Linked DNA regions of Arabidopsis thaliana. The protein of the gene in region 1 interacts with the protein of each later gene in a pairwise test. Each region holds a gene or a part of one and is shown on either strand. Other genes may lie near its edges.

The links. The genes of interacting proteins can lie anywhere in the genome.
Region 2: the proteins of CDKE;1 (region 1) and AT5G48630 interact in a two-hybrid assay, tested with the Arabidopsis thaliana proteins (one study listed by BioGRID).

What each region holds. Positions count from the first base shown.
Region 1 is NC_003076.8:25,462,430-25,467,633, reverse strand, and holds CDKE;1 (cyclin-dependent kinase E;1), read left to right. Parts: upstream 1-1,711; 5' UTR 1,712-1,911; intron 1,912-2,471; 5' UTR 2,472-2,576; coding exon 2,577-3,989; 3' UTR 3,990-4,272; downstream 4,273-5,204. Other genes in the region: AT5G63620 (GroES-like zinc-binding alcohol dehydrogenase family protein), read left to right, coding at 59-152, 240-453, 547-688, 770-947, 1,070-1,254. UniProt on the Arabidopsis thaliana protein: Involved in cell differentiation. Required for the specification of stamen and carpel identities and for the proper termination of stem cells in the floral meristem.
Region 2 is NC_003076.8:19,721,003-19,725,078, forward strand, and holds AT5G48630 (Cyclin family protein), read right to left. Parts: upstream 2,167-4,076; 5' UTR 2,118-2,166; coding exon 1,970-2,117; intron 1,857-1,969; coding exon 1,817-1,856; intron 1,724-1,816; coding exon 1,679-1,723; intron 1,599-1,678; coding exon 1,480-1,598; intron 1,389-1,479; coding exon 1,274-1,388; intron 1,175-1,273; coding exon 1,124-1,174; intron 1,001-1,123; coding exon 853-1,000; intron 766-852; coding exon 661-765; 3' UTR 501-660; downstream 1-500. Other genes in the region: AT5G48640 (Cyclin family protein), read right to left, coding at 2,651-2,755, 2,876-3,023, 3,143-3,193, 3,447-3,561, 3,670-3,788, 3,983-4,027.

The sequences.
Region 1 (5,204 bases):
TCGGATTCTCTAATCTGAGAACTGTAGCTTTTTAGCTGATATTTTAATTTGGATACAGGGCCATGATGATCTATGTGAAGACTTCTTTGCTTACAACAGAGCCAAGGGAACTCTTTACGATGGCGAAACTCGTCTCTTTTTGCGACATGATGGTAAATTTGAAGACTTTTTAAACATCAGGTGGCATATTAGGAGAACTGTGATTGTTTTACCTAATTACATTTCTTAATTTCTGGCAGATTCACCAGTGTATATGTATAGTATGGGAGGGATGGCTGAGTACTGTGTTACACCAGCTCATGGTTTAGCTCCTCTACCAGAGTCTTTGCCCTACTCTGAATCTGCCATTCTGGGATGTGCTGTTTTTACAGCATATGGTGCTATGGCTCATGCTGCTGAGATCCGTCCTGGAGATTCTATTGCAGTTATTGGAATTGGTGGTGTGGGCTCCAGGTATGTTAAATGTGTGGCATTTTCTTTTCTTTACCGGATTTGGGTTTTATTGCTTCTTGTATGACCATAACCATCTTTGAGTTGTTGCTTCAGTTGTTTGCAGATCGCAAGGGCTTTTGGAGCCTCGGATATCATTGCTGTGGATGTTCAGGATGATAAATTACAGAAGGCCAAGACACTTGGTGCTACTCATATTGTCAATGCTGCTAAAGAAGATGCTGTTGAAAGGATAAGAGTATGGTTGATTCAAGACCTCTTATTTGTGAAGATGAACCATTGATTGATATAAATATGAAAAACTGTTTCTTCTTCGTAGGAAATAACCGGTGGGATGGGTGTTGATGTTGCTGTTGAAGCCTTGGGAAAGCCTCAAACTTTCATGCAGTGCACACTAAGTGTGAAAGATGGTGGAAAAGCTGTGATGATTGGACTCTCACAAGCTGGTTCCGTTGGAGAAATTGACATAAATCGACTTGTTCGTAGAAAGGTTTGGGGTTCTTACTCTCTCTCTCTCGGCCTTGTTAGAAGAAAGTCTCTGGTACTGAGATTGTCTTTTAAGATCATGATATTGAATCTCTTTTTGTTCTGTTTTTCCAATTTTTTGTGAAGATAAAAGTTATAGGATCTTATGGAGGAAGAGCAAGACAGGATCTTCCTAAAGTAGTGAAATTGGCAGAGTCAGGGATTTTCAATCTCACAAACGCAGTCTCAAGTAAATACAAGTTTGAAGATGCAGGAAAAGCATTTCAAGATCTCAACGAAGGCAAAATCGTGAGCCGAGGTGTTGTTGAGATACTATAACCAATATAGCCTTTTGATTCTGGTTTGTGAATGACTGCTTCACACCTGTTTCACTGAGGTCTATTTTTAGTTGCTACAATCTTCAGACAAGGTCATTGTTAATCTGATATTTGTGTTTGTTTAGACAGTGAAAAGGAAAAAAAAAAACTGTAGTAACTGGACAAAATTTATAATTTTACTGTTTTTCATTTCTTTCCAACATTTATTGTTTTTCTATACTGTTAATATTTTTAATTTCTTCCCTCTTTTCACAATTTTCTACTTTCTAAGAATATTAATAACTGACATATATATAAAAAAACACAATTTATTTCTCTTTTGATAAAATTATCTATAAATCATTAAATCTTTGATGAGAAATATCCAATCTACTAATGTATATCGATGATTTAAATGAAATTACTTATTTGAACACAAAAATAAATGAATTTACTAATAAATAAATAGCGTAGTTGGAGCAAGTGGCTAAAAAAATTACAAATCTAGTTTCCATTCTCAGCGTCGGCTGCTTGGAACGTCACCGTTTTCTGGAAAACGCAATCTTCTCCCTTCCGTGACGTCTCACCGGAATTTTCTCGCTTTTGTCTACTCTCCTCCATCTCCGAGGTTCTCCAAGCTCAGCTCCTCTTCCCATCATTCATCCGACCGCCTTATCCGGTCAGATCCTTTACGTATTTCTATTTTCCTGATCGTCGATTTTTGAGAAATGTAAAAACAGATCGTATAAGGCCTCGAAGTTTTTAATTTGAAAGTGGTATCGAAATTTTTTGGTCTTTGATTAGGTTAGGGCACCGTAGCTCTGGGTATTGAATTTGTAGGGTTTTCCTCTGGTTATTGGTCTTTGGAGCTTGGTAATTTCTGCTGAATTGATTGATCCCTTTTCCATCTTTTGAAGTAAAGTCTCGAGCTTTCGTGTCTCGATGTAGATGAATTCTATTTTGAATATGAGATTTGATAAGACGTCAATTGCTGATAATTTGGAGTCTTTGTGTCTGAATTTGTTCATATGAAGTTTTCTGAGGGATGTGAATTTTATTGTCTGCTAATTTTGAAACGTTCCTTTTGGAATTTGGTTTGTGAGGAGTCCTAGATCTTTTTCTGTGAAGTTTCTTGCTTGTAAGTTTTCTGGATCACTTGATTGAGTCTAGAATCTAGATAGATTACATGTACGGTTTGATTCCTTTGGCTGATTTTCCAAAGTTTTGTTCAAATTTCAGGAGAACTACAAAGAGGAAACCAAGATTGTTTTGTTTTGTTAGACTCTACCCCTTTTCCGATTCACATGGTAAGGACATTGAGGTAGAGAATAATACTAAAAAGCAATGGGAGATGGGAGTTCCAGTAGATCCAACAGCTCAAACAGCACTAGTGAGAAACCAGAGTGGCTGCAACAGTACAATCTCGTTGGTAAGATTGGTGAAGGCACTTATGGTCTTGTTTTCTTGGCTAGAACCAAGACTCCGCCTAAAAGACCTATTGCTATCAAGAAGTTTAAGCAGTCCAAAGATGGAGATGGAGTTTCCCCGACTGCTATCCGCGAGATCATGTTGCTTAGAGAGATTTCCCATGAGAACGTCGTGAAGCTTGTGAATGTCCACATCAATTTTGCAGACATGTCTCTGTATCTTGCCTTTGATTATGCCGAGTACGATCTCTATGAAATCATCAGGCACCACAGAGACAAAGTCGGCCATTCGTTAAACACATACACAGTTAAGTCTTTGCTCTGGCAGCTTCTCAACGGATTGAACTATCTTCACAGTAATTGGATTATACACAGAGATTTGAAACCGTCGAATATCTTGGTTATGGGTGATGCAGAAGAGCACGGAATAGTGAAAATAGCTGATTTCGGGCTCGCAAGGATATATCAAGCTCCGTTGAAACCACTATCGGATAACGGAGTTGTGGTCACAATCTGGTACCGAGCACCAGAGCTGCTTCTTGGTTCGAAGCACTACACGAGCGCTGTTGATATGTGGGCAGTTGGGTGTATATTCGCGGAGTTACTAACTCTTAAACCGTTGTTTCAAGGAGCAGAAGCGAAATCGTCTCAAAACCCTTTCCAGTTAGATCAACTTGACAAGATATTCAAGATCTTAGGCCACCCGACGATGGATAAATGGCCAACACTAGTTAACCTTCCACACTGGCAAAATGATGTTCAACACATTCAAGCTCACAAATACGACAGTGTGGGTCTCCACAACGTGGTTCACCTGAATCAGAAAAGTCCTGCGTATGATCTGTTATCCAAAATGCTGGAATATGATCCTCTAAAGCGGATCACGGCTTCACAAGCACTAGAACACGAGTATTTCCGAATGGATCCTCTCCCAGGACGGAACGCATTTGTAGCCAGCCAACCGATGGAGAAGAATGTGAATTACCCAACTCGTCCAGTAGATACAAACACCGATTTCGAAGGCACGACAAGCATCAATCCGCCTCAAGCAGTAGCAGCAGGAAACGTAGCAGGGAACATGGCAGGAGCTCATGGAATGGGCAGTAGATCGATGCCAAGACCAATGGTTGCACATAACATGCAGAGGATGCAGCAATCTCAAGGCATGATGGCTTATAATTTCCCGGCACAGGCAGGGCTTAACCCGAGTGTTCCGCTGCAGCAGCAGCGCGGGATGGCTCAACCGCACCAGCAGCAACAGCTAAGAAGGAAAGATCCCGGAATGGGTATGTCAGGTTACGCACCTCCTAACAAATCCAGACGCCTCTAAAGGTAAAATCGAGATCATCAGTCTCGGGTTAGAATCTGTGTGTTTGCCGCAGAAGAAAGCGTTGCGATTTGCTTTATAGAGTAGAGTTAGATTGTAATGCAGCATGTGGAATGTTGCTATTCATATGGATGGATTGGATTCTCTGTAGTTTTTGTATAAACATCCTCTCAAGTATTTGTTAATTATATTAGATCATCATTTCTCTTAACATCATTTCTCAAAACGTAGTAAATAGGAGATTTGCCAAGTGAAAAATATATATAATGAGACAGTTATTATGAACACAATTTACAGTTATTATGAACACAATTTTGGTGATGTTTCTACTGTTTATGAAATTTGTTTTTTTTTTACCTGCCAGTCTTATCTATTTACCACCAACATACATTAGAATCTAATGTAATTACATCATCAATCATAGACCTAATGAATATTTAATACCACACAGTTTAAACATTGCTATTAAAGTTTGAAAAGATTATACTTTAGTAAAATAATGTTTTCAAACTTGTATTCAATTATACTACGTAAGCAGTGATCCAATTATTACGAACATAATACTTTTCCAAATCAAAATTTTGTTTTTGTTCACCTTACCATCAGTTTCATAATAGAAATATTATATATATACAACACAAACAAATGAATGAGAAATGTTTTTCTATTATTATGACTTTTATTTAAGATTCAAAAGAACGAAGAAGAGTTATATATATGCTTGTTTGTTTCAGGACAAATACAATAAATAAGTGGATAAGAAAACCACAAACCTTGAACTAGCCTGAAATGTGTGAACCAAGCTATACAAACTGTACGTGATTCTGCATCGTGGAAGTCACAAACAGACTTCTGACTTCTGCTAAAGATAAAACTCACTGTTTGCAAGCAATTTAGTATAAATATGAAGCATTGACCTACCAAGATCGACACAATCACACAGTTTCTTCTTAATTAAACCTAGCTATTTTTGTCTTTAGCAGAAGTCAGAAAGCTAGTTTTGTATTTTTCTTATTTCTTAAATATATGGCGGCCAATGTTATGAGACGGTTTATGATTTAAAGATACACAATGGACCCACGACGTTGCCATAATACAATTATTAGGCTGTTAATTAACGTGATCGTTACGTTTGCTACAAACTAGCTAGTTGTGTCTTCTTTATTTTAGTAGATAAGTATAAGAGTCTAAAAATATTACAACCCAATAATGGTTACA
Region 2 (4,076 bases), 5.7 Mb from region 1:
CATGTGGACAGTCTCAACGACTATACATTGTTCCAGCATCGATCATCTTTGAAATAGATGCAGGAAAGACCAAGAAGCGAGCCAAATTCTCTTATATTGGGAGAGATAGAGGCTGCTTCACAAAAGTCATCAGCTGATCAACAGGTTTTTCCGAAGAATAGCTTATGAAGAATACAGATCCTCAAGTATTAATGATTACGTTTCCAGTCTTGGAGCTCTCGCTTTCAGTGAATCGTTATGTTGTGTAGCTCAGAACTATATTATAGAAACAATGCTTATATTGTTGTTTGTTTTTGATGTGGATGCATGGAACTTGCTTGAGAACTCTTTTACAAAATGGAGAAACGAAACTTGTAAAATTTGGATATTTTCTGTTTATTGTAAAATTTGGATATATTTTAAGAATTGCGTTTTGCTTTCTCGTTTGTGATTTAACCCAGTTCGTTTTGTAAGCTCTATTTACACCATCAAATCTTGTCAGTTTTTTTTGACGTTTTGTTAGTTTTGCACCTCTTTTACTGTGTATACGCAGAGGCAAGACATGGTTGAACCAAGACGAGCAAAACTGATGTACAATAAACAGAATAATCTCATTTCCAAAACTTCTGGCAAAACATTATATTTTCTCAAGGGAACAAAACACACAGACAAGTCGAAACTTTATGGGTTTGTAGCAAGTTTGTTGAAGGCGGCGTGAACTCTCTCTTCCGTGAACAGTCTATGGTTTTCATAGAAATCTAATATCTCCATTGCAATATTCTTCACCTGCCAATATGTTCACAACATTCCGATGAACAACTAAACAAGACCATGCCTTCTAGTAACAACAGAGATAACAGTGCATGGACTTACAATGTTCATGTCGACAGAAAGCTCTTCAAACCATGTCTTTATGTCTTTCTCTTTGTGTACAGAAGCAATGTAAATGCAAGCGAGTGTTATGAGAAACGGCGGATGTATAAGGATGAGGTCCATTCTATATGTGTCGTTGACAAGACCCCTAAAGTTTCCACAACAAAACTTAAAGCATCAAGAGAGCATTTACTTTTTTGCTTGCAAATCAAAACCTGTTTAGGCTCTCTTCCAAGAAGCTTAATGAAGGACAAAAGTTTTGGACACTTACCAAGTTAGATGGGTCATACTAGTGTCATTGATTCCAGAATCCTGCAAGAACCTGCAAGTAATGCAAGAAGGAATAATCAAAACGAAATGCAGAGTATAATGGCAAAAAGATTTCGATGACGACACATATGATCCTAAGCAAACGACTTACTCAGGCAGAGATCGATATGGGTGGAATACAACAAGATAGAAGTTCAATGCTTCCAAGACCTTCATCTCCATTTCCAGAATATCTTTAATCTCATATCGAAACTTTTCATCCGCATCTACAGAGAGTGAAAGCATCCAATCTCATCAGAAACTCAGACAAAAAAAACTCAAGAAAATTTTGGAAGCAGAAAACAAAAAAGAATTTACAAAGTTTTTTCATGTAGAAGACAAGAAGTTTGGCATGCACCACACTCTCTTCTGCTTTGCAAGCCAAATACAAGCATGTAGGAGCAACAAGCCGAGGCTCATATTCCGTCAAACTCTTTCTGTCAAAACACACACAACAGTACCCATAAATCAAATGACCAAGCCTCGTGCTACACAACGATTACCAAAGAAGCCATACCTTGTGTAAACACGACGCATATAGGTTACTGCAGTTGCAACAACTCTGAATCATAAAAGTGCTAAAAATCAGTCAGCATTGTTCAAAGGGTCATAGCACATTCCATATCTCTTTAAGACTAACAACGAAAGACTTCACCTTTGCCTAATCTTAATGTGTTGTGCCAGTTTCGATATATCTGAAATCAAATAACAACAAGGAAAACACGAAAAACATGATTCATGACATTAGAGATGTTAAATCCAATCTGGAAATTAATTAACAAGGTAATCAAATCCAATGAAAACATACAATTAGACATATGAAGCTTAATGAGTCTGAAATCTTCAACAGAGATTCCTCTCTGAGCATCAAGAGGATGAACAACATTAACCTCTTCTGGGTCCTTAAGCTCTTTGCTGTGAAAATAAAACCCACAAAACGAATCAATCAGGAACATGGAAATTGAATTAAAAAAAGACGATCTTTAATCATTGATTGAAACTTACTAGTGCGTCGAAGTCCAGAAATTGGAAGCCATAGCTTCTTTGATCCTTCAACTTCAAAAATACAAGCTTTTTATTTTTATGGTGTGGATAATGAGAGCATAAAGACCACCAAGGAAAAATACAAAACAAAAAAAGTAATAATTCAGTATTTATCTTTTTTGATAGAAAAAAAATTATTTACCAAAAAAAGTTTTTAAAATTCTTATATGAAATCTTTTTTTTTTTTTCATATTTCTCATCTTCATCAATTTGACCTTTGTTTTATTTCACATTTTTGCTTCTACGAGAGGTTTAGGTTTTGGAGAAAATAAAAGGGAAAACAAACCCATTATGATGAACAATTAACAATAATGTTTACTTTAAGATTAATAGGTTTGGTAATAACAGTGTTACATGTTTGCCACAAAGCTAGATGGATGGGCAATTGTGGAAGTCTCTAATCATTTTTTTCTGTGCGATAAGTCTTGGAGATGGAGGTGATTCTCTACAGCTTCAAAGCCAATTTGCTGAAGGCAGAATTCACTTTTTCCTCTGTGATTGTTCTGTAGTTCTCATAGAAGTCCAGTATCTCCATGGCAATATTCTTTACCTGCAACCCATTGCCCCATGTAGAGCTTTCAAAGTCACTAAAGAATACCGAAAATCACGCAAAAGATCATAGCTATTCGCTTTAACTAATGATTGAATAACTTTTAGAAGAATGACTGACCAAGTTCATGTCCTCATGAAGATCTTCAAACCATGCAGTGATATCTTTCTCTCTGTGGACACTTGCTATGTATATGCATGCTAGCGCTATGCGGTAGGGAGGGTGTACAAGAATGAGGTCCATCTTATAAGTATCATTAACAATTCCCCTGAAACACGGAAAATAGGTTTTCAAAATGCTTTTTATACAGGTCAGAGATCTCTTAGATTTTAAGGTTGGAGCTAGGAATTGAGTTCTATGCAATATATCTCATATAGAAGGACTTACCATGTAATCTGGTTCATATTTACATCGTTTAATGCAGCATCTTGCAAAAACCTAGAAATCAAAAGAATGAAGTATTAGAATGAGTGTTGATTTTCTGACCATCAAGGCACACAAAACTCTCACCAAGGAAATATTAAGGTGGTCCAAAATTTTGATATAATGAGAAACATCAAGAACATTGTATGGGAAGACTGCAAGTTTTTACATGTATCATCATTTACACTTCTCCGTTTGTAACCACAGACAATAAGGCAAACATGTTCAAAGCTTCCGAAAAGCGGATAAGAGAGATGAGTGGACATACTCCGATAATGACCGGTAAGGGTGAAACACAACCAGATAATAATCTAGTGCTTCTAACACCTTCATCTCCATTCCTAATATATCCTTTAGTTCATATTTGTTGTACTCATCAGGATCTGCAAAGATATAAGAACCGTTGTCGTCGATATGTCAAAAAAAAGCATATTGAAGGGGAGGTACTCTCATGATTTGAAAAATAAAAAAACAGAAGAAGAAGATATTACACAATCTTTTGATGTAAAAAACAAGATTCCTGGCCTGCACTATGCTTTCTTCAGCTTTAGATGCCAGGTACAAGCACGTAAGAGCAACAAGTCGAGGCTCAAACTCTACCATACTCTTTCTGAGATAGTATAGTAACAAAAGGAAGATATTAGACACCAAAACTGAAAACTTTCGTAACACAGTTAACGTTTTTGATAGCAGAGATGCAACATAGAGAGACACTGGCATGACAAGAATTTAACTCATTTCATTCCTCACATACACAAAGATGCACATTGATGTATACGATCATATCAAAAATACATTGCATACCTGATATAAACCCGTCTCATATACGTAATTGCAGTAGCTACAACCCTACATAAGTAGAAAAACCAAGGCGACGATTCATATACAAGTCCAGGTT